Linked DNA regions of Lonchura striata. Each later gene encodes a partner of the first gene's protein in a complex. Links are inferred from orthologs where the notes say so. Each region holds a gene or a part of one and is shown on either strand. Other genes may lie near its edges.

The links.
Region 2: the proteins of EPS15 (region 1) and AP2A2 are in contact, whole or in part, in a crystal structure (PDB 1KYU), measured with the Mus musculus proteins. The link is inferred for Lonchura striata from reciprocal best matches to the Homo sapiens genes EPS15 and AP2A2. Residues at the interface, in NP_031969.1 of Mus musculus: Asp629, Pro630, Phe631, Lys632; in XP_006536218.1 of Mus musculus: Phe442, Phe443, Trp446, Lys447, Asp487, Pro488, Val494, Arg511.
Region 3: the proteins of EPS15 (region 1) and STON2 are in contact, whole or in part, in an NMR structure (PDB 2JXC), measured with the Homo sapiens proteins. The link is inferred for Lonchura striata from reciprocal best matches to the Homo sapiens genes EPS15 and STON2. Residues at the interface, in NP_001972.1 of Homo sapiens: Leu139, Gly148, Lys152, Pro153, Val154, Leu155, Leu156, Asn157, Ser158, Lys159, Val162, Asp163, Leu165, Gly166, Arg167, Trp169, Glu170, His176, Gly178, Met189, Val192, Tyr193, Leu196, Glu197, Lys198; in NP_001353779.1 of Homo sapiens: Trp309, Arg310, Ala311, Thr312, Asn313, Pro314, Phe315, Glu318, Gln321, Asp322, Gln324, Pro325, Ser326, Ile328, Asn329, Pro330, Phe331, Phe334, Phe335, Glu337, Gln338, Glu339, Arg340.

What each region holds. Positions count from the first base shown.
Region 1 is NC_134611.1:10,084,373-10,091,855, forward strand, and holds the start of EPS15 (epidermal growth factor receptor substrate 15), read left to right. Parts: upstream 1-4,400; 5' UTR 4,401-4,415; coding exon 4,416-4,502; intron 4,503-5,906; exon of another isoform or gene 5,907-6,070; coding exon of another isoform or gene 6,071-6,097; intron 6,098-7,483. UniProt on the Homo sapiens protein: Involved in cell growth regulation. May be involved in the regulation of mitogenic signals and control of cell proliferation. Involved in the internalization of ligand-inducible receptors of the receptor tyrosine kinase (RTK) type, in particular EGFR.
Region 2 is NC_134608.1:45,479,729-45,487,675, reverse strand, and holds the start of AP2A2 (AP-2 complex subunit alpha-2), read right to left. Parts: upstream 3,057-7,947; 5' UTR 2,937-3,056; coding exon 2,870-2,936; intron 1-2,869. UniProt on the Homo sapiens protein: Component of the adaptor protein complex 2 (AP-2). Adaptor protein complexes function in protein transport via transport vesicles in different membrane traffic pathways.
Region 3 is NC_134608.1:20,301,980-20,309,585, reverse strand, and holds the start of STON2 (stonin-2), read right to left. Parts: upstream 3,005-7,606; 5' UTR 2,932-3,004; exon of another isoform or gene 2,906-2,931; intron 2,498-2,905; exon of another isoform or gene 2,470-2,497; intron 2,372-2,469; exon of another isoform or gene 2,349-2,371; intron 2,102-2,348; exon of another isoform or gene 1,802-2,101; intron 1-1,801. UniProt on the Homo sapiens protein: Adapter protein involved in endocytic machinery. Involved in the synaptic vesicle recycling. May facilitate clathrin-coated vesicle uncoating.

The DNA.
Region 1 (7,483 bases):
TGTTATGGTTGTAATTAAGACCAGATGAAAATGAAGGAAAGTGGAGAATGTAAGAATAGATAAGAAGATGAAAATAATTGGGAAGACAAGTAAGGAAATCTCAAGAAGAAAAGCTTGCTAGTATCAAGATTTACAGTAATTCCATAAAAATGGTCTTTTACCATTAACAGTCATGTGTTTGTCTTAAAGACAAACCATTTAATAAGAAGAAAAATACCAAGTGCTCTTTTATCTAATTAATTCATGTATCTTATAATTCTGAAATTAATTAATCATCTTTGTGAAGGGCAGAGTAAACTAATTCTAGGTTAGGGGAAGGTTGGGAATTCAGTGTGTAGATTATATTTTTTATATTTTCTGTTTTCTTATAACATAATAATCTTTTAAGTGTTTCAGAAAGGTGAGCAGTGTGTTCCCTGGATTTATAGTATAGACAACATGCCTAAGGAATCAGGGAACAGAAGAAACTGTTGGTAAAAGCTTTTCTGACTGCTACTTTGTAAATATATTAGTTTTCAATCCTCATTTTGGTTTAATATACACTACACACTACGATATTGACATGTTTAATTTATAATGAAGACTGATGCTGTTTCAGCAGTGCTATTGCTTGTTCTATTTCAGAACATGTATTAAGCTGTTCAAGGAACAGTGAAATCTCCAACTGCTACATTAGCTGGACATGTCAGATTAATGCCTATTGAAGATTTTTCTGGGTTTCAAATATGGTCTTGAATGAAAAATGTCATTGTGCTGTCAGTCATTCAGCTAATTATCTAGAATTCAAGCTGACCTCTTGTATATATTTACGTTTTCTCTTATTATTTTACAACATGAAGTGTAGCCCCATGAAACTGGCTAATATAAATTAGTTTGAGAAAAGATGCTTACAGTCTTAATGAAAAGATAAATGGTATATGTTTTAAAATAGCAGATCTGTACTGCTACATTTCAGATTTGCCAGCACTTCCATCAGATATGATTAAAGAGATTCACTCAAACCCTATTCAGGTTATTTTCAATTTTACCATTCTCTTAATAAAAATTCAATATTATTCTTTCTAATTACTACGGTTAAAAGATAATTTTAGCCTTTGTTTTTCTGAATACTGGCAATATAGATTACATCATTTTGCAAAACAAAGAGGTACAATAATTCCATACTTTGTTTCTGCCAGATGAAGGAGTTAAATTCAGATATATTCAAATACTTCTGAACAACTGAACAGAAAACACTTTAGAGATGAACAAATATGCAGTTATCTTAATATCCTAGTTTGTGTTTATTTAATACTGCTACAGTTTTGTATAAATTTGATCATCTCTCAACCCACTTTGAAGTATTTTCAAAGCTGCTATAACTTTGAAAGTGTGCAAACCACATTAAGAAGCCAAGAGCACAGCACAAGATGAATTAGCAGGTGATTCCTATGCAGTTTTCATAACGATCAATGTACATACTCCAGAAAATAGACATCCTCCTAGAGGATACACTATAGGACTCACAGATTACGTGTTTTATGTAGAAGAAACACAGAAATTAACAGGTCTCTACAGAAGGTCAGTTGGAGTCTGGCTAGATGATTGTAATGTTCTCTTGTGGCCTTAAAACATAGCAGCCTATCTGTAACCCTTTGTCTAGAAAACTTGCAGCTGCATAAAATGTAAAGAGCACACAAAGCATATCCTGGGGTGGATTTCTAGATAAAGGCATGCCTGCAGTCGTGACTTCCTAAACCAGCTTGTGTCACTAGTCCTGGAAAGTACCCTGAGATTTCTGATAAAAGGTCTCCTCAGTCCAAAGGTTGTCAAAGTCTGCGTGATGATCTTCCTCCTTTCTCAGGAGGGATCTTTCAGTAGCCTAAGTGTGGGAAGTGCTGTTCTGTACCAGGACTATGGCTGTTGCTTGGCTCTCTGAAACCTGTGCAATGTCTGTTTGCCTGTGGGCAGATTCCCTTGCATTACAGTCTTTGATCATAGAACAGTGATTCCTTTTTCTGGCCAGGATTTTGTGTGTTGATGCATATGTTTCCTTTTGCTCTGTAAAACTCAAAGTGGCTTAATCCTTCTTACTTTTAAATCCTTGGTTCTGTATACGCAATGCTGCAGCTACTGCTCTGCTTTGCACTGGAATTCCAGAGAGCTGGGTACCTCATTTTGTGCTCAGGAATGCAGGAGGCAGGACTGAGTCATTCCTCTCTCAGCCTCCGGAGTGCTCATGGGCTGTAGTAACACCTTTCCTAGAACGAGCAGAACAAGTCACACTAAATGCCTGCGTGCTGTTTTGCGCTTCCCGTGTGCTGATCCATAGGGTAAACAAAGCTCTAGGAAAGGAAGAGATGGACACTTAAGATGTTATTTCTGGGGGGACCAGTAGATGATTAAAATGTTACCAGCTTTACTAACAATCATATTTAGACATCTATAGAACAGTGGTCGTTAGTGTTTGCCTGTGGTGGAGAGCCTTTCTGTGCTACCTTGCACATTTTCAAATTCAGCTGTATCAGAGCAAGTCATTTGTACAGTGTTCCACAGTGGGGATTTGCACCAAAATGGTTGTGCTGCTGCTGTGCTCACTGCACTGCTGCAAGTCCCAGTCTTCACCAGCCATTTGGCTAGTTTTGATTTGTTAGCAGTCCCTTGTTTGTCCAGTGTAGACATAACTTTGTGCATTGTACTTTCAAAGAAACAATAAAGAACACTAAGATCTGGTACCTATTTGTCAAAATGCCAGTATTTAGAATTGTAGAAAATCCTATTACACTTACAAATAAAAGCATGCTAATACTATTTTCCATGTCCTTTGGGCATAAAGTGCACTGTAGTAGAGGATCTTGCAACAAAACATCATATAGCAGTTCTTACAGAGCAGATTACAGATAAATATTTCCTGCAGGAGAATTCATGTTAAATGCAAAAAAGATACAAAATGAAACTGTTAAAGTTCTTGCAGTTCATTGATCTTTTGTCTTTCTTATGTTCTTAACAAGCAAGCTTTCCTGAAAACCCAGCACAGAATCCCACCACTCCTTACAAAATTCACAGAAGATATTTCAAAAGGTCAAGATTCATGGGGTCAGCAAAGGAAGAGATAGAAGAATGGGGTTTCCACTGAGGAGGAAATAAGAGGAGAAGTACATTTAGAAAATCCCTCCATTCCAGATTTCAGGAGCTCTTCCACACTAGCCAAGCCCTGGTGAGCTGCTCATGGCTAAGCCAAGAAGGTCATTGGAGGGCATTGTTTTGCAAACCTGCCAACAGCTTTGAGTAAATTTTAGTAGCTGTGACTTTTCTCTTGGCTGCAAGTAAGTATGAAGTCCAGTTTTGTGATCTAATATCAGGTGATGACATCTCAATTCCAGCTGAGAAGCAGAGAGTTGTTTTTCTTCTGGGAGCTGTCATTCTAGATTTGTGAAAATCTGCAATACAATCATTCACCATCAGCAGGCTGACAAGTGCTGTTGTGATTGTTATAGAGATGTCTGAGGTTCTGAACTGGTTGTTTTAACTCAGGTGGTTGGAGGCATCCAGGACAATTTGTCTGTGAGCTGCACAGAATGATCAACAACAGCACAAATCTACATGACCACACTAATTCAGTGTTGACTATATGAAACTCATTATTGTTTTAATTTGTAGAGGCCACAGTGGTTACCTTGAGGGATTCTTGCCCTCTGACTGTGGACACAGTGGTCATGCCTGATGACTGTGAGCGTGCAGAGCCAGGGTGAAGGTACATAACCACATACCTGGCAGTGCTTGCTTGTTCCTGAGCTGCAGGTGCAACTTGGAGTCTGCCGCAGCAGCTCTGGAGAACACTATGGAAAGGTGCTCTGGATGTGGACTGCTGTGCCCTTCACAGTTTGAGGAAGTAAAATGGGGGGTTATTTTCCAACACAAAGTTCAGGGAGATCAGGCCTTCAGGAGTGGTCTTGGCTGGAGCAGACCTCCCTACTGAACAAGTGTTCTGCTCTGAGGGGACCTGGGGCTTTTCATTGTGCTCTGGGGTGACACAGCTCTGCTGGCTGACTGGCACAAGTCCCTTGACTCAGCACCTGTATTCTAGAGCCTTGCTGCAGCTCTGGGTCCCTTCCTGCACCTGGTAGGAAATACTTGATGCAACACCCAGGAGAGAAAGAGAACAGCAGCAAGAACACTACTGAGCCAGATAGCCTGCCCACAAAATCCTGCTCACAGCAGCTCTCTGCATCAAGCCTCCAACTCCAGAGCCAGATCCCAGGTCCCTGTTTTGCATTTTCCTTCTCTTTGCAGAACACATCAGCCTGGGTGTAACCTCTCTCCTGAGAGGCCACCCGTCCCTGCCAAGCTGCAAGGCTCCAAGATGAAGGAAACAACTGACAGAGCAAAGGGCACCCAAATGAGCTCATGGCTGCTCAGAAATTCAGGCTCTCCAAATGCCCACTAAGGGGCCCCCTCCCAAAAATCCTGCTCTCTCCAGGAGACACAGCTGCAGCTTTACAATCTTCTGGTTTCATTTCCAGGTATTAATTATTCTGGGATAGAATTCGAATTTTAATCAAAGAAGAAAAAAATCTAGAAACATAAAGATAAATCTAGAAATATAAAGATAAATCTAGATATAGAAAAAACCTAGAAATATAAAGTCTGTGCTGTTTTCTAGGGATTTTGCTTATGAGAGAAGTGTGAGGTGGAGTAGAGAAGTGACAAGTGAGTATGTGAATGGTGTGAATATTTTTATATTTATTCTGTTTGCTGTTTATATTCTTCCCCTCCATATTTTCTTTTTCTTGCTGAAAAAATGGCTGAGAAACAGGTTGATAAGGCAGAGCTTCTATAAAACCTTTATAAAGGAATAGGTGGGAAGGAGGGATCCCACATTTCATGACAGATGATGAGCACTAGCAGCTCAGGATGACTGCCAGCTGAGGAATGACAGGATGCAGAGGTGGGGCATGAGCACACGACTGAGCTGAGGAGGACAAAAACAATGCAGAGGGGTATAGAATTATGAACAGATAAAGAAAACAAAGCATGTAGGGAAAGCTTTCCAATAATCAAGTATGACTTCAGCTAATTTTTTCTTACTAGTCCAAATGCATATTTCAAGATTAAATGTGTGCCTAAACCACCTTGGGGTAAAGCATAAAAATAGAAACATTTTCTCTTGGTCCTCAGTGACTTATGTATGCTGAGGTAGTGCAGAGCTCAGAGTAGGAGTGGAAATAAGCCAGTGGGAGGAGGTGAGCAGGTACAGGAGCAGGAGAATGAGCGGTGACATAAGTATTGTTTTCAGCCTGTCTGTACACAATTGTTTCCCATGGGTTTGGAGAATGTGGTGCAGTTTACTCCCCACTCCAGCCTGCTCCTTTGTGTCTTGTTGCAATGTCTCATAGTTTCTCCTGCCATAAGGGTTGCTCATCCCTTTCTTCTGGTTACCCGCCCCAGAAGAGCCACTGTTGCCCTGAGTACAAGCAGGGAGACAGAAGGATGCGTACAACCATGAGTTGCCTGGACAGGCATCTGATTTCCTGTGAGTGGAGGGAAGCAGGAGGCCGAGCCCAGGGCTGCTCCTCACCGCTGTGAGGATGCGTCGGGTCAGGACATCCTGCTGGGCTCACGCGCTGCTTCCTCCTGGGCCTTGTGCCCAATTCTGTTGCAACTGAGACCAGACCTGCTTCACCTCCTGTTTTGGGACTTCCCCACCTGTGGCATGACTGGACTGGAGAACTGCAACCATTCACCATGCTGGAAGCATCTCCAGCAGAAGCAGGGCAAATAGGGAAGGTGAGGGAGAGGCCGGGAGCTGGCAGTGGGGGATGTTGGTCTCCGTGTCAGGCCCATGATTCCGGCTCCGGGTTTTCGCTGCAGCTGCCTCGAGCGGGCTCCGGCTCCGGTAATCCGCGCCCGGTTTTGCGCGCGGCTGCGCTGCCGTGTGGCGGCGGGGGAGGCTCCGGCTCCGTCCGGCGGGCGGGCGCGGATCCGGTGCCGGGATTTGCCCGGGGCCGGCTGGGGAAGTTGCCGAAGTTGTGCGGCGAGTGGCGGGGCCCGGCGCGTCCTTCCTGCGGCCGGGCCGGGGGCATGGAACAGCATGGCCGCGCGCCTCTCCCTGGCACAGGTGAGGGGCTGCGCGCCCGGCCCGGCCGTGCCGCCGCCGCCCGCTCCCGCCCAGGCACGGCCGCGCCGCGGGGCTGCCCGGGGCCCGCGCTTTGTGCGGACGCCGCCGCCCCGCAGCGCTGCCCCGCCGCTGTCAGGTGGCGGCGGGGCGGGGGTGTGTCCGTGTGTGCGGGAGGGAGGGAGAACGGCAGCGAGGGGAGGCGGGTGGGCAGCCCGGCGCCGCGACCCGGGGGTGCCGCGGCCGAGGAACGGGTCCCGCCCGGCCGCAGGTGCCTCTGCCCGGGGCAGGAGACCCGGCCGGGAGCGGCCCCGGGCGGGCGGGGCTGCGCCGGCGGCGGCCGCCGTCCGTCTTTTGTCTCTGTAGGACTCGGGGCTCCGGGCTGGAGCCCAGCGAGCCCCGTCCCGGGAACGGAGGGCGGGCGGAGCCGGGGAGTGTTGGCGGAGGGGCTGAAAGGCGATAGCGCCGGGTTAAGGTGTCCGTGCCCGGTGCCAGCCCCGCGGGCACACCCGGCATCGTGGGGTGCTCCGGGGCAGCGAGACCATGGGCAGGTGGCCCTGGGAGGGATAGACGGATTCCTTGTTTTAGCAGAAACCTGGCTCCGCAAATGCTGCTTGCGGGATCGTTTTACCTTGGTTTAGGTGGGCCCCGTGGTTTTGGGACATTTTTGTCACATAGTGCCCATACAGGTGCCTCATAGTAAAGAGCTGTGGAGGTGGTGGCCCTAAAACTTGGAGACCGTGGCACTGTGTCATGCTCGTGTCATCTCACTTCACCTCAATCCTTCTTGCTCGCATTTTTTTCTGACAGTAGTGGAATCACTTCACACAGGGTATTCTACATCATTAGGATCATGTCTTACTCCCTAGAGCTGCAATAGCTAAGGAATGACATTTTTTGATACTTTCTAATTTCATTTAGCAGTGAGATGAGAAATTTACATTCCTACCTGACATAAGGCTGAAGTGGGCCTTTTGGTTCACTCTCCTGGCTTGGGATGCTTCAATCTGATAGCTAGTTGTGACATTTACAGAAAGCAAAGTGGGTAAATGAGCTTAATAAATTGCTTAAGCACATGGAAGTAAACTTAAAAAGCTGGCAGTGAGGCTGCACAAGTTTACAGTTACTTACCTAGTTTGCTTTTGAGAAGAATATCAACCATTTCAAGGAAAGAAGTAGTTCAGTGAAAAGGTGAGTAAATATATGGAGAAAACAAATATATCTTTAAGAGTCTAAAGGTATAGTTATGAAGTATAGTACTGTCTGTGAAAGCTTGCTTTATATTAAAATGGCTAAGTTAGTATTGTCTGAGTCTCTTAATAGTCTTCAAATAAATGTAAAAGCTTTAAACATCTTACTGAAGGGAAAGAAGTTTTTTTGCAGAGCTTC
Region 2 (7,947 bases), on another chromosome or scaffold:
GATAGGCAAGACAGGCATCACTCCCAAGTCAGTAACATATCCAACCTGTAAGAAAATCCTACATTATTTAGTGCTGCAGACATTGTAGATACAAATGTTACAAAAATAAATCTTGATGTAAGGAGATCAAGCATTTCCAAAGGTAAAGAGTCAAAATTTACATAAGTACCCCCCAGAAGTTTAGGTTACTTGAATTATTTGAAATCACATGCTGTGCATCCATCCCAGCACAGGCAGCACACAACAAGTGCACTTTCATTTTTCAGCAAGATCTATAATGTAGAATCCTTATCTGTGCAGAATCTTTCAGAATAACCCCCCCACAGACACCATGTTTCACTGTTACTCATAATTCAGAAAGGCTATTGGCAAACTAAAAGTGCCAAGCCTTTGTGGCAGTACTAAAAATAGATACAAGAGTCCAGCAAAGCCAAAATTTGGATTGAAACTAAAAATGCCAGCAGAACTTTCCATGTTACTGCAACTATCAGATATTTAGTCCAATTTTAAGGCTAGAAATAGAGGTTAAGAGCTGCCCGTGGTGTCTAGCTTCCCTCCCTTCTCAGAAAGGAACACTTGCTTTCTTTGCTTACTCAAAAGATGCTGTTCACCTTAACAACTGCTACTTTTTGTTCTTGACATCTAGCTCCTCACTGAAGAGGCAAAGAGGGAGTTTAGCCAAAAGCAGTACCTACAAAGCCCAAAGTCTCCAGAGAGTACTTCTGTGAATACTCCAGGAAGCACTTTTGTGAATTTTAGTCTGTGTACACTAGCCCAGGGTTAGCTGGCAGCACTCAGAGAGCTCCACTAAGGGAAAGGCTCAAATGCCATTCACAACTATTTGGAAGCTTCATACATCACCTACTAGCAGGAATACCAGCTCTTCTGCAGCTGTTTAAAAGATGCTGCTACTTTTTTCATTATGAAGGCAAAAAAGATACACAAGTAACTACAGCTCCTAAACATCTGTCTGGACATAGACAAAACATTTGAGACATACCACTACTTGTATGAAGAGTCGAAGTGTTAACATTTTATTTGTATCACCAGTAAGTTACATCTTTGTTTCTCCTGCAGATAACTAGAGCGTGAGAGGTTTGTTGTCCCATCTCGACCAAGGTAGCTTCAGCTCTGTTCTCTCATTGCCTTGTGGGGAAATAACTACCTGTTTTGTTATATCCTACAACCTTAAATTTTGTTATTTCATATTCCTGAACACTGAACACTTTGGGTACAAACCTAAGAGCCCAAATGTTTCCCTTGTATTTACTTCTAGAGATTTCCTCTGAAAACAAGTGTGAACAAAGTTAACCAACTGCAAGACACGAAAACACTGATGAATCAAGTCATACTGTTTCTAGCTAAATCAATGAAAACAATGACTAAAAAAAATCATTGTGAATTGCACTGGGTAGATACAACAGCTTAACAAGTCTTAACTGCTGTGATACCAAGTGGAACTATGCTACACTCGTAGCTTGCACAGAACACCAGGACATTGTAAAACGCTCACTAAATAGCCAGGCCAAACAGACAAAGCACAAGAGCATTTGTGTAACCTGGAACTGCTACACTGCACCTTTTATAAGCCATCTTCTACACACACTAGGGTGAAGTCTACAGAAACCTAAGGATCTGCGACTGCTTTGAAAAAGAAAACAGCTCATTCAAACAGCTTCTGCTCTAAGGAAGACTATCGACCTTGAATTTGTTCACATGTCTTGATGTCCTAATCACCCAATTATAAAGACACTGCACTTAAATGGTCTCATTTTACCAGTATAATTTTTTTGCCAGGTTTTTTTCTATTAGAAGTCACCAATATGAAGTTTTTCAACCCAGTGTGATTAAATAATGCCAACACAAGCCCAGTCACAACAACACAATTTGCATTAAAAAAATTCTCCAAATCTGTTTATATCTTTAGAGAGAAATGCTTACTGCCATTCCTCCACTGCTTTTAAAATAGCCTCAAGTGATCTACAAAGACTCACAGGTGGACAAAATAGAGCTGTTTCATCACACCAACCACAGCGACCTTAGCCCTTCCCCAGGCAATTCCTGCCACATCATACCCTTAGATCTCTAACTCCGATTAATATTAAACTATTGTATGCAATTTCGGACGAAAAGGAAGACTGAGCACTGAGGTGTGCCCCCACACATACCCCTTCCCCCCACACCAAGCAGCAACAGCAGATTTGTACTCCTCCTCTCCCGCTGCACACTCACGGACACGCTCCCCGCACTTCTCTCGGGGGGGGGGGGGGGGGCACTTACTCGCACCTCCCTCCATCCCATTTTTAATTACACCGATCCCAAGCGCTGCTTCCCACCTTAAAGCCAGCTTAAGCCGAGGCTAGGCATACGCGCAGAGGGCCCTGCTCTCAGGCGCCTACAGAGGCCTGTTTTCCATCAGTGACGTGCCGAGCCGAGAGCCGCTCGGGGATCTGGAAGGAGCCCAGGGAGCCTCTCCCTGCCCCGCCGCACACCCACCCGCGCCCCGGCACCGCTCGGCGCATCGCGAACAACGGGCACCGACCCCGGCACCCCCGCGGCGCTCAGGCACGGCGGAGGGGGGTGACGGGGGTGGCGAGGGGGCAGGGAAACACCCCAACCCACCCACCCAAAACGCTCACACCCACGGGCAAATGCTTTATGCGGCCCCCCCTCCCCGCCGCGCCGCCCCCCCGAGCGCGTCGCCATTTCGTGAGACAGGAGCGCTCCGAGCTGCCCGCCGCGGGGATCAGAGGGAAGAGGGAAAGCACTGGGAAGGGGATCGAGGGGTGAAGCCCCGGCCCCACGGGGCACCAGCCCATGGCGACGGCCGGCGCGGCCCAGCCCAGGCCCCGGCCGCGGCGCCACTCACAGTTGCGGATATCGGAGATGAAGACCGCCAGGCCTCGCATGCCATCGCCCTTCGACACGGCAGGCATCGTGGCGCACGATCACGGCCGCCCTGGGACGCGACACGCCGAACCCCCGCAGCCGCCGCCCGCTCTCCCCGCGGGCTGCTTCAGGCCGCTCCGCCGCCTCCGCAGCGCGCAGGCGCCGCCGGGGCTCCCGCGCCCCCGCAGCCGCCGGGCGGGCGCTGCTCGTGCGCCACCTGCCGTGCGGAGGCGGGAGCGCCGCGGGTGCGCCGGAGGCTCTGCGCCTCCCGGTGCCGCAGCCACGGCGGGCGCGGACCCCGCCCGTCCCCCGGGATGTGCCCCGAGACCTGCCCCGCTCCCGGGCGTTCCCCGTGCGACCCTGCGGCCCTGAAGGGCTGGCTAGCTGGAGGCCGGGCCCTGGGGATGGGCCGTGCCGCTGCTGGCACGCGATTTGCAGTCACCGCCCGTGAGGGAAAGCGGGCCCGGGCCGAGGTGAGGGGCGGCAGGGCAGCGTTAGCCGCTGTGTCCGTGGGTGAATTCACTGCACGCTCCCTGCTCGGGAACAGCCTCACCTCTTCCTCTCCTCGTGACCCTAATGGCCGAGAAGTTTGATGATTTTTGAAGGTGAAATACGGGGCTTCTCAGGCACCTCAAAGGATGTAACTGCTGAGGGAGAAGGAGAAGGACCGTTGATCAAGATACCGGAAAATTTCACTTCATCACCTAAGCTTTGAGCAGACTATTGATCTGGGATCTTATTTTTAAAATATGGAGAGCCAGGTAAAGACTCTCTGTGGCATAGTCCGTAAGAATATGCTTTCCACAGGGTGGACTGCAGGAGGCTGTGCCTTGGTCTTCCTCCTCAAAAGGGACCCCAAAGCAGTGCACGGGATCTCCTGCACGTACCCTGCACAGTCCCTGTGAGCACTGACAAGCCCGGAGGCGACTGTGCGCAGCTCCATCCTTAGGCACATCCCCTTGGGAGCCCGCCGTCGCTCGTGTGAGTGGCACAGTTGCTCCACGTTCATGTAGATTCCCACTCCCTGACTCCCTGAAACCCAGGGCCACATGTTCCTCCCGATGGCTGTAAACATGCAGAGTGACACACACACCACATCTACTCCCGAGCCTGAAAACATCTCAAGGTTAAACTGTCTTAAACGTGACGAAGAGGTTGGACTATGCAGAGCATTTAATATCTTCAGCTGAAAATAGGTTCAAATAGTCTCAAAACTGGCCTAGACTGCCTAACCAAAAGTGTGCTGGGGGCTTCACTCATGATGCAAGGAAAAATATGCTTAGTGGAGAATAATGACTCATAGAATCATGGGGCTTAGGGCTATAGGAGATCAGTCAGTCATTTCTCCTCTATTTCAGCATACTTCAAACCATTTAATTTCATCTGGGGTTTTTTGTTTGTTTGTTTAACACACACACACACACACACACACCATGAGCTTAGCCCAACATCTAGCTTTTAGCTATGGTCTATCTTCCAGAAAGGCACTGAGTCTCGCTCTGATACAATCATAATTCACTGTTGCCCTGGATAGCTTCCTCCCATGGTTAGTTCTCCTTGTTTAGAACTTGCATCTTGTTTAGATTCAGCAAGTTCCAGTACCTTTAACTTCATGATACATTTTTCTCTCATAAAGATCTGTATGTCTGACAGTGGCTGTATATCTTAGTTAGGTCACCTCTGAAGGCTCTATTCCAGGTGTTTTCAGGATACAGTGTTACATGAGTGCTTTTTAGTTGTGCAAGTGTCTATGAGCAAGGCAAGATGACAGCATGCAACTCATGCAATTATCACTTTGTTCCTGGATCCATTTTGTAGACCAAGTGCAAATACAGGCAGTCATGCACAATTAGTCTACTGTTCAACTCAGATTTGTAGGCTTTCATGAAGAACATACTCCTTTTCCACAGCTTTACAAATATATTTTTATGCTTAATAATAATTTCCATGCACCTTTGAATGTGAAAACTTCCTATGTCACCAAATCAGGCTTTTCCTGTGATCAGAAAAAAAAAAAAAAAAAAAAAAAAAAACAAAAAAAAAAACAAACTCTTTTTTGAGTTAATTTCTACTCCTAAGAGCACAGTGACACCTAAAGGCTCAGTCTACCAGTCCTGTCTGGTTGTATTCCTGTCAATACTGCAAGTCATGCAGGTATCCAACTGCCTTTTCAGCAGTGCTTTAAGTACTGCCAGCAGGATAGCTGTGGCAGTACCAAGCTAAGCATGAGCTGCAAATTCTTCTTGAGAACTGGGAAAATATCCAAGTGGTTAGCACATGTGGATGACTCTAGTTTTGCCTCATACAGCTAAATGTTTCATTTGAAGGGGCTCAGTATGCAGTACACATACCCTGATTATTTTATGTCAACCTCCTTTGACTGGATTTCAAAGCTTCACTATATTCACCCTGCTGTCTTTTTGCCTCATCAAAGGCTTGCGCAATCAGGCATGTCTGTCCTTACTGCCTCAGAACTTAGAACTTAGTAGAAAATTTCAGATGTCTTGGTAAGGACAAGGTAGAAATTTTATGTGAATAGTAGGGTATCTAAAGGAAAGAGAGTCTGTAATGGTCTCTAGATGCATCCTGGCTGAAAGAAACATTGTAATGTGAACTCAGCTGTTACTCAGCACAGAGCTTGCAACCAGGCACAACCCTTTGCAAACACACTGAGTTGGTAATTCTGTAAAATATTTTGGTTTGAGCCTAACATCTATAAAACACCAGGCTGCCTAAAAACAAACATAAGTGGTTCTATCCATCCCAAGATGTTATGATAATTTAATATTTATAATTGTAAAATCAACATTAAAGGGGAGATAGTACCAAGAAATATTTTCCTATTACATAAAACAATTGGCATCACATTTGTTTGCCAACAGATCCAGTGTTTGTCCCCTAGTTCCCATTTTATATGGGAGTAATTAAATTTTTTTTCCAGAATTTTATTGCACCGGTACAAAGGCTTTAATAATTACAGTGACCTTCATAAAACTATTACTATTCATCTGAGTGTTTTCAGCTGGTGAGGATCCAGTTGTGGGAACTACAAAAAGGGAATTGTTCCTTTCCTTTTGTTACTTCTCTCACATTTGTCTCACCAGTTATTGTTTTCTCCTGCTCCTCATGATCATTCCAGTCATTACTGGAACCAAAAAGAACTCAGGACTAAACAGAATCCATGGCTCCACCATGCATACACAACCATATTTCTGTACTTGACATTGAACATTCATTATCCCTTAAAGGAGAGCACAATGCCTTCTGCCAGAGTATCAGGTGGGCTGCTTTCAACACTGGAAAACACAAAGTTCGGCTAATATCATTATCATGAAATCTAAATTTACAGAAATTTGGGGTGCATCTGGGCATAGAAGACTATGCATCTGCTTCACAGATAAGACTTCTGTTCAGAGCAAAAATATTTCCATTTTTTCCTTTCCAGTGCTGAAGAATGCTCATTAAGATCTTCATTACACAAGATGGAATGAAAGAAGAGGGCAGTTCAGCAGAATAAGGCAACCTTCCATTCAAGCTTCTAGTAGATTGCACTAAACTGTAACCAAGAGAGAAAGCAGGTCACAGGATAGCTTCTATTGGGAATTTCACTGCTAGGATATGCTGGCCTTGCATCTACATCATGATATAACACATCCATTTTTTTATCAAGTCTTTTGATAGGGTATTTAGTCCCTGCAAGCAGCCTGTGAAATAACAGGGTTATACCAAAATTTCTGCTGCAGTAAAAATAGCAGCATCACAAGCCATGCTGCACACAAAAACACAAACTGTAGAAGGTCAAAGCAGAAGAAAATAAAAAACTCAATTAAATCCACTATCTTTTATTTTAGAGCCTGTTAAAAGCCATCTGAGATTTGACCCCTCCTTTCTGCAGACCCAGAGTCATCAGTACTGCCTGCAGACTCTTTGCAGCCTTACCTACACGATCATTTTGCCTCCTGGTCAGTGTGTGCATTTTAGCCCAAGTTCCTGATTTACCTACATTTTTTTCTCAGAATCACAGAAACAATTTGTTTTGGAAAGATCTTGGAGATAATCGAGTCTAACCTGTGATTAAACATCACTACTTCAACTAGACCATGGCTCTAAGTTTTTCTTAAGACACATCCCGGGATGGTGACTCTGCACCTACCTGGACAGCCCCTCCCAATGTCTCCTCACCTTCTGTGAAGGAATTCCTCCCGGTTGGACCTCCAGGTCCAACCTGACCCCCCGCCCTGCCATAGCTTAAGGCCATTTATTTTTGAGTTGCTGGTAACCTGAGAAGAGGCTGATCCCAACCTAGCTATAGCCTATTTTTGGGCAATTGCAGTGAGCGATAAGGTCACCCCTGAACTTCCTCCTCCCCAGGCTAAATCTGTACCAATGTGCTATAGCTTGGGCTAAACCAAGAGGGTCTCTATGGGAATTTAGAATCACACCATTATTAGCATTTCCTTTCTTCAGCTACCGATGAGCCGCAAGGCACGGGCCCGGGCCGGGCCAGGCCAGCGCCGGGCCGGCCCGGAGCGCCGGGGAGCCGCGGCCGCCGCGCCCCTCCCGCCCCGCCATGTTGGCGCTGCCGCCGCCCCGGCGCCGCCCGGAGCCGGCGGGGCGGGGCGGGGCGGGGCGGGGCGCTGCCGCTCGCCCGCACTTCCGCGGCGGCGGCGGGCGGTACGTGGTGTCCGCGGGGCTGGGCCCGGCAGGGCAGGCACGGAGCAGAGGGGGAAAGGGCGGGGGTGAGGCTGCGCTCGGGCGGGGGAGAGGCGGCCGCCCGGGGCTGCGCCAGCGGAGCCGAGCTCGGCGCGGCCGCAGCGGCGCCGGGCTGGGCGCTGATGCCGTGCGGGCTCCCTGCTAGCTCCAGAGCTGGGCGAGTGTGGGAGGGAATTCTGAACGCCAAAGTGGTGCACTTTGCAAGAGGGGAGGGTTTAATGTTTACACAGGTTAGAAACGGATTTATTCTCACTCTTCACTCCCCGCTGTTGCTTTCATTTAAAAATGCATCAGCAGTATGCTTCCCGGCCTTCCTTTACTAAGTGATGCAGGTTCTTTCTGCAA
Region 3 (7,606 bases), on another chromosome or scaffold:
AAGTCTCAGTGCAATACCTGGGTTAAAGGCTGCATGAAGAAAGGGTACTACCAGGAGCCAAGTGTCAGAGCAGGAGAATCCACAAGCCATGACCTTACAGCTGATGCCAGCTTGGAAACTGTCTCACTGACTGGAAAAGTCACTGCTTCAGGGGCAACAGAAGCCTTGCAGAGCAAAACATCTTGAGAGGTTTGTAACACACTTAGATACCACTTCTCATCTTCACTTGCTGATGCCAGACTTGAGATAGCTGAAAATTACAGACTCTACAAACATGATGTATTTAGCCCACTCACAGTATGGTTTTAACCCACACACAGTCTGGGTTTCTCAACCAGGGAACTGTACCAGCTGCTAGTTCTTAACAAGATAGGTGGCAAGGCAGCACAAACAAGGACTCAACACAGGGAATTGGCCACTACTGAGATGTAGCTGTTAGCTTTTTACCTTGCATCCCTTGGACTGTAATCTAAACCAACCACACAGAGTATTAATTATGCCACTGATGTAGTGAGGGATACAAGGAACTCAAGGAAAGCTATGCAGCTAAAGACCAACATATGCTGTTCTGTCCTTAATGATAACGGAAGACACAAATTATAAGAACGTACAACTAGTCAGAACTGAGATTCACTGCATCCTGTGAGAGAAAAAAATATCTGACCCTTTTCTCTTACTGCAAAGTTTAATGGCCATGCTCCTGATGACACTGATATTTTAAAAATAATTTAAAAGCCAAAACTATGAAGAGCAGAGATCGCTAAAGTTGCCAGCTGTAATCCTATATATAAGGAAACCTGTATGTTAGATCTGCTAGGCAGTTACTATTGCTCACTTTGTACTTTAAAGCATCATAGAAATATAATGAAAAGCCATTAATAATATATAGAAAAGGTCAAAGATTTACCTGAAAAAAAAGCATGACATAACAAAGTAATTCATAGTGAACATTGCTTTAAATTATAATCAATCAAATCTGAAAATTCTCAGAGAAGAGACAACTTAGCCATTAGGAAAATAAGTATTTAGGAAAGTCCAATGTGTTGCATAATCCCACATAATACATCTCATAGAGATGTGGGAAACTGCTTTTTAAGCTTTCTGGTGACAACACAAACTTTATTAAAATAAGCCTGTTTATCTGGACAATATTAAGGCAAAGTCCAGATCTCACTTGTCTGTGTAATGTAAGGTATGCTTTCATCACCTTGGCAGAGAAAAGAAAAAACAAAATCAGTCACATGCCAGAATTAGCGAACACGATCATTTTCCAAGCAACCTGTAGTCTGAAGTTTACTTGTCCAGACTAGTAATTTGCAAAATACACGTTTCACAGAAGACAAGAATGATTCATATCTGATTCACAAGTAAAGAAATGCCAATGTTTGCCAAATTTTTGCCTTGACAATAGCAAAAGTGCCCTCAAACCACTACTGCAAAATTATCCTAAGGGTATTTCCCAGCAAAAGGCAGAACTAAAGTATGAGAAGACTGGAGCTACGATCTAGTCATAACCCGATCTAGTCAAGCAGTTGAGCAATTTTAAAACTTTTTGTCTCTAGAAACCTTAAGTCTCTAAAAGATTAAGCTATGGGAATGAAAGAATCAGAAAAGTTGAGGCTGATTACAACAAATTAATCCACAAAACAATTAAGAAAAATCAACAGAGAAGAGATGCAGCGCAGGAAGAATATTTAACACATGCACTAAACAAATGAGCAGAGAAAAGGCTGTCTGATCGTATATCAACACAAAAATCCACTTTGCGTGGAAATATGTAATTTGAGCATTTTAAACCTACAATTTACAGCGTATTCAAAAGCGCCGACGGAAAGATGAGCGAGCGATATTTGTTTGCCTTGCAATATCTGAAGCGCAGAAAAGCGTTTCAAAAGCAGCACAATTCAGCGGACTCAAGCAAGAAAAGAGCCCAAACCATGAGTAATTCCACAGAGCAGCTGAGGGGTAGGTGGATACGAGCAGCTTCCCCGCGCTGCTGCTAATGAGCATTAACCCCTCCGCAGCCCCGAGCCGCTCGCAGGCGCACAGCCGCGCATGCCGAGGGGTGCTGGGCTGCCCCAAGCCTCCGCGGGCCCCGGGCACCGAGGGGAACGGGTCCCACTCGGTACAGCGGGCCCGGCCGGGCAAAGGGCCGGAGCGCGGCGGGCACCGAGGGGCGGCCGGCGGCCGCAGCTCCGCCAGCAGGGCCACCTGCCTTCCCTCAGGCTCCCCGGCTCCGGTTTCTGGCGTGCTCCGCCCGCCCCGAGCCGCGGGCCCCCTTCCTCGAGGCTCCGAAGGCAGAGCCCCCTCCTCCCCGCGGGCCGCGGTCGCCCGGCCCCGGCACCCACCGCCGGCCCCCCGCGCACCCACCGCCGGCCCCGGCACCCACCGCCGGCCCCCCGCGCACCCACCGCCGGCCCCCCGCGCACCCACCGCCGGCCCGGCACCCACCGCCGGCCCGGCACCCACCGCCAACCCTGCGCACCCACCGCCGGCCCCGGCACCCACCGCCAACCCTGCGCACCCACCGCCGGCCCGGCACCCACCGCCAACCCTGCGCACCCACCGCCGGCCCCCCGCGCACCCACCGCCGGCCCGGCACCCACCGCCGGCCCCCCGCGCACCCACCGCCGGCCCCCCGCGCACCCACCGCCGGCCCCGGCACCCACCGCCAACCCTGCGCACCCACCGCCAACCCCGCGCACCCACCGCCGGCCCCCCGCGCACCCACCGCCGGCCCGGCACCCACCGCCAACCCTGCGCACCCACCGCCGGCCCCGGCACCCACCGCCAACCCTGCGCACCCACCGCCGGCCCGGCACCCACCGCCAACCCTGCGCACCCACCGCCGGCCCCCCGCGCACCCACCGCCGGCCCCGGCACCCACCGCCGGCCCCCCGCGCACCCACCGCCGGCCCCCCGCGCACCCACCGCCGGCCGCGCTGCTCCGCGGGCGCTGCGCCCGCGCTCCCGGCGCGATCGCCTCCGGCCGGCCCGGCCCGCCCGCGCCGCCGCCATTGGGCGCTCCCCGGCGGCCAAGGCGCCGCATTGGCCGGGCCCGCCCGCCCCGCCCCGAGCGGAGCCGCCCCCGGCCCCGCTGCTCCCCCCCGGGCCCGCTGCTCTCCCCCCCGGGCCCCGCTGCTCCCCCCCGGCCCCGCTGCTCCCCCCCGGGCTGGTCCCGCTGCTCCCCCCCCCCCGGCCCCGCTGCTCCCAGCATTGATCCCGTCCCATTTGCTTAGGGCCCGCTTCTAAGTGCGATTCAAAGGCAACGGACTTTGCCGCCTCTGTTCACCCACGGACAAAAATAAATATCAATGTACAGATAACAATCGATAATGCAAACAAAATATCCTTCCGTTCGGGGTTATTCAACAGGCGTGCTTAAATATAGCGCTATTTATTTGTAACTGGTGAGTTCGTGTACACACCTTTAACACCAATTAACAGGCACCTCACTTCTTTTTTTGGGTCCTCATGAATTTTGTGGATTATGGATTAAGCAGGTATAAATTAATAGAATGTCTATGAACCAAATTGTGCTTAGGCTGTTGAACTGTAAGAGTATTACAAACCTAATAAAATAAATTTCATGGTAATAGTAATCTTATTTCTGCCTTTAAATAGTTCAGAGAGCAATTTGCATATGAAAATGTCTTTATGGTGAAATTAACTTCTAATCCCAGTACATTTCCAACGCTCCAGCTGAAAGGAAGTTTATGCAAAATGAATATGTACATCGTTAGCTCAAACATGAGTACAGATATGTACATTTACAGCCATTACCAGACTCAAAGAATACCTCTGGAGAGCTGAGGGAGTAGCAAGTCACCAAAGAGCTTCCTAGAAAATTCAACCTTGCAAGCTCAGAAATGTTATTGACCATTTGCAATAAACATGGTAATAAAAGCCTTAATTAGTAATGGAGACTGACTGTAAAAAGGAAAACAAAAAGAAGGTTGCAGTTTTATTCTTCTCTGGGTGAACTAAGAGTTTTAAAACGTGCAAAACCACGGGGAAATCTCAAATGCAAAGTGCAAGATAACTATGTAATTACAACTGATGTTACACTCAGCAGCTTAGCATGTCTGGCTCGCCCGATTGTTTCCAAGGGGCTTTCAAAGGGGGTCCTGGTGCAGAGCAGTGTGCGGACAAACATTACAGAGAACACTCGAACCGAAGCCCAAGGCCCCCGTGGCACAAGCGGGGGACATCGCGTGTCCCGAAGCACCGACACGAGTGCCAGCTAGAGGTGGCTGCGGGAAAAGAGCACGCAACTCGCACATTCCCCAAACGGGACTTGCGGATTCTCTTACCCAGCAGTAGAAGATGTTGATTGCCCAGACAAAGCCAGTCACCTGGAAGATGTTTAGTTGAATAATCTGCCCATGGGCCCAAATGGGTTTAGTCTGGCTCTCAGACTCATTTACATGTGTACAGGGTAAATTCAACAAGGACGTAGATAGTTCTACTCAGGTACAACTGGTGTCTTTGTTTTATGAGCCAAAAGAACTACAGATTAGTTTTCTAATTGTTTCTCTTTATCTTCGCCATCTTTAATAAACCCAGGATCCAGAATTACATTATTGACCTCTGGTGTACTGTACTATGAAAGATCCTGGCTAGAAAGAGACTTGAAGGCCATCAATCCTTCCCTGGTTTTAGTCAAATTCTGAACCCCATTTCTTTTTTTACTTTTTCATCTTCTTTGTTTTCTGAAGAAAAGTAAAAGCTATTACATAGTAACTTTTCACAACAGTATTTGAACTTATAGTCACAAAGGCTTGTGACAGCTACAAATGCTGTCACAGTGCAACAGCTGCAGTTGGCTGCTGTATCTCTCATTGCTAAAGCACAAAGCATGAAATGTCATCAATCAGGTTACAATCACCAGAAATATATTTTCCATCTTTTCTTTCTTTTCACTCCAGAGCATATTTACTAACAGCCTTTAGATCAGCCTTTAAGGGCTGAGGAGAGGGATGTTTCCTCATTTAAGATATCATTAAAGGAAAAGAGCTTGCATAGAATATATTGCTTTTTAAGCACTTCTCCTCTTCTGTGCAGATTACCAGGCTTAAATTTGCTCTAGGATCAATTACATTTTCTGGTATTAGGTAAATTGAAGTTCCTGTATTAAGCATCCTTTTAAAAAGGAGGAGTAGGACAGAGGTGGGGTAAGAGCAAAAACATGTTACAACATTTGATTCTCTTACACTATTTATTCCAAATTACAACATCCTTACCACAACATCACACAACTCTGTTTACTATTGCCATTCTGTTTGGACTTGCAAGAAATTTTTGCTTTATATTTCTGAAGTTCTTTTACTAGTAAGATCTGGAATGGAAGGAGTAGCAGGTAACAAACCTGATAGAGGTTCTTATATTTTCTTGAGTTTTCTCAGAATCAAAGCCACAGAAAACACTTTTGGTCAGCCCTGCAGTGATCAGGCAGTTAAGCTTGATGGTCACTACAGATCCTTTTTTGATTTGATGGTCATTACAGGTCCACTGAAATATTCTATTACATCAGAACATCAAACCCAAAATTATTCTATTTAAATAAGTATATTCAATTTCTGGTTGAACATTTGTGTTCCTACAATTGAAAGAGAAGTTAGAATATACTTGAGCATTTATCACCACCAAAGTAAAGACATAGGGGAAATAAAAAAAGTTAAAAAAAAAAAAAAATCAAACCTACTCCAGAGAGTCTGATTTTCCTACTTGAAATAGTTTGGGTTTGAAGAATAAAGATTATATTCTTCCATTTTCTAGAATATGACAATATTAACCCTAAAAAATATAGCATTCTAGTATTAATATTCTGACTGATGTAGAAGATGTATTTACGATATGACTTTACTGGGTTAGACCATGTGAAATCATAACTATAAACACATGTACTGAGTAACTAAAAGCTAGAATGATCCCAATTCTAATTTATTTTGAATATACACATAACCTGACTTTTTGTTCTTTCAACTTGACAGCTAGAGTTTTTAATGTTAATATTTCATTATAAAGATATTAATAATTCATTATATCCTGGAAAATGCTGCTATTTTATTCCAATACAAAACCATGATTCTCATGCAAGCTTTACTGCAAATTTAATTAAATTTGTCAGTTAACAGAATTCAATATATTTCATCATATTAAATGAGGCAGTGTGACTTAATCCTTAGTTGTGTGCCAACAGAGGCTCCACTCAGAAGTGTACAGAAGAACTTTGAGATTTTCTTTACCTTTTTTCTTTACCTTCCACAGTTAAGTCTGTACTTCATATTTCTTTATACTGTATCACAAAGTAGTCTCACAGAAGTGCTACTTCTCAGCCAGTGAGCTGATATTGACACACAGAGCAGTAAAAGAAAAAAAAACGTGTGGTGCCAAAAGATTGTTTGCTTAGCTCCCTTACCTCAGACCGTGTGCACACACCTGTGTGGTCTTTGCTCCAGCTGCCACAGCCCAGTCTGGAAGATCACATCCTTCAGGAGAGATTTAACTGCACATCTCAGTAATGGCAAGATTAGATTTAAACAAATATTGCTGGGACAAACGCACTATTTCCAGCATGGCAGACCATCACCTTCACCTCCCCTTCACAAGCAATATTTTTCTCACAGAAGGGCATTTCTCAATGACCAGACACCCTTGTTTTGCCATCTAGCAGCAAACCAAATTACCAGCATCTGCAGAGCTTGTTCTGCTGCAATCTGAGCAACTGAAGAGTTTGTAGAATAGCAGTGCCTGGAGTGCAGTGGCTAGTGGAGAAATTTGGAAGCATCAAATTCTCAATATAAGCATAGAGAGAGCTAAAGGCTCATCAAACATACTAATTTTATGTGTTTTGAAAACTTTATTTTCTGTAGCTGCAAGGAAGTCTTTATGATTTGACATTTAGAAATCCCAAGGAGACAGTGGAAATTAATATTTTATGCCCTGTGTTTAAATAACGAAGAGTATTTTAAAATGACAGAATACCGTTTGTTCTAGCACCTTTCACAGTGCCAAATGAGATTAATGAGACACTAGATCTGAAATCTTAAAGGGGTTTATTTTTAGTTCACTTTTCTAATAATTTTAGTATTATTTACCATAAAGTTTTTCAGTATTCAGCCAAAGGATTATTTGCACACTGTTTACTCTAAACATGAGCTTCATGATGCTGAACTAGTATCACCAGAAACATTTAGAAGTATTTTGTATCAATCTACCTTTTGGAACTGAACTAAGAATGACAATGTACTGAAGAGTAAACTCTTTGGGGCTTGTAAACACAAACATAATAATTAGGCCAATTTTTTTCAATTACATGTGCAAAACACCAGAAGTATTTCTTGTGTCTCTATGGTGCTAGTCACTGAATATGAAAGACAGGGTAGGCAAACAGTTAATATACAATGTTCAGTTTGTTAGTTGAGAGATTACATAAATGAAGAAATCCTTCTTTCTTGCCCTATTTTGATAAGATCCTACTTACTTGAACCCTTTGCCTTCCAAAAAAAAAAAAAAAAAACCAAAAAAACTCAGACTCCTAGTAGGGAACTCAGTAAGTTGTTAGTTTAGCAGAGAGGCAGGAAAAGCCAACACAGCTGTGTGC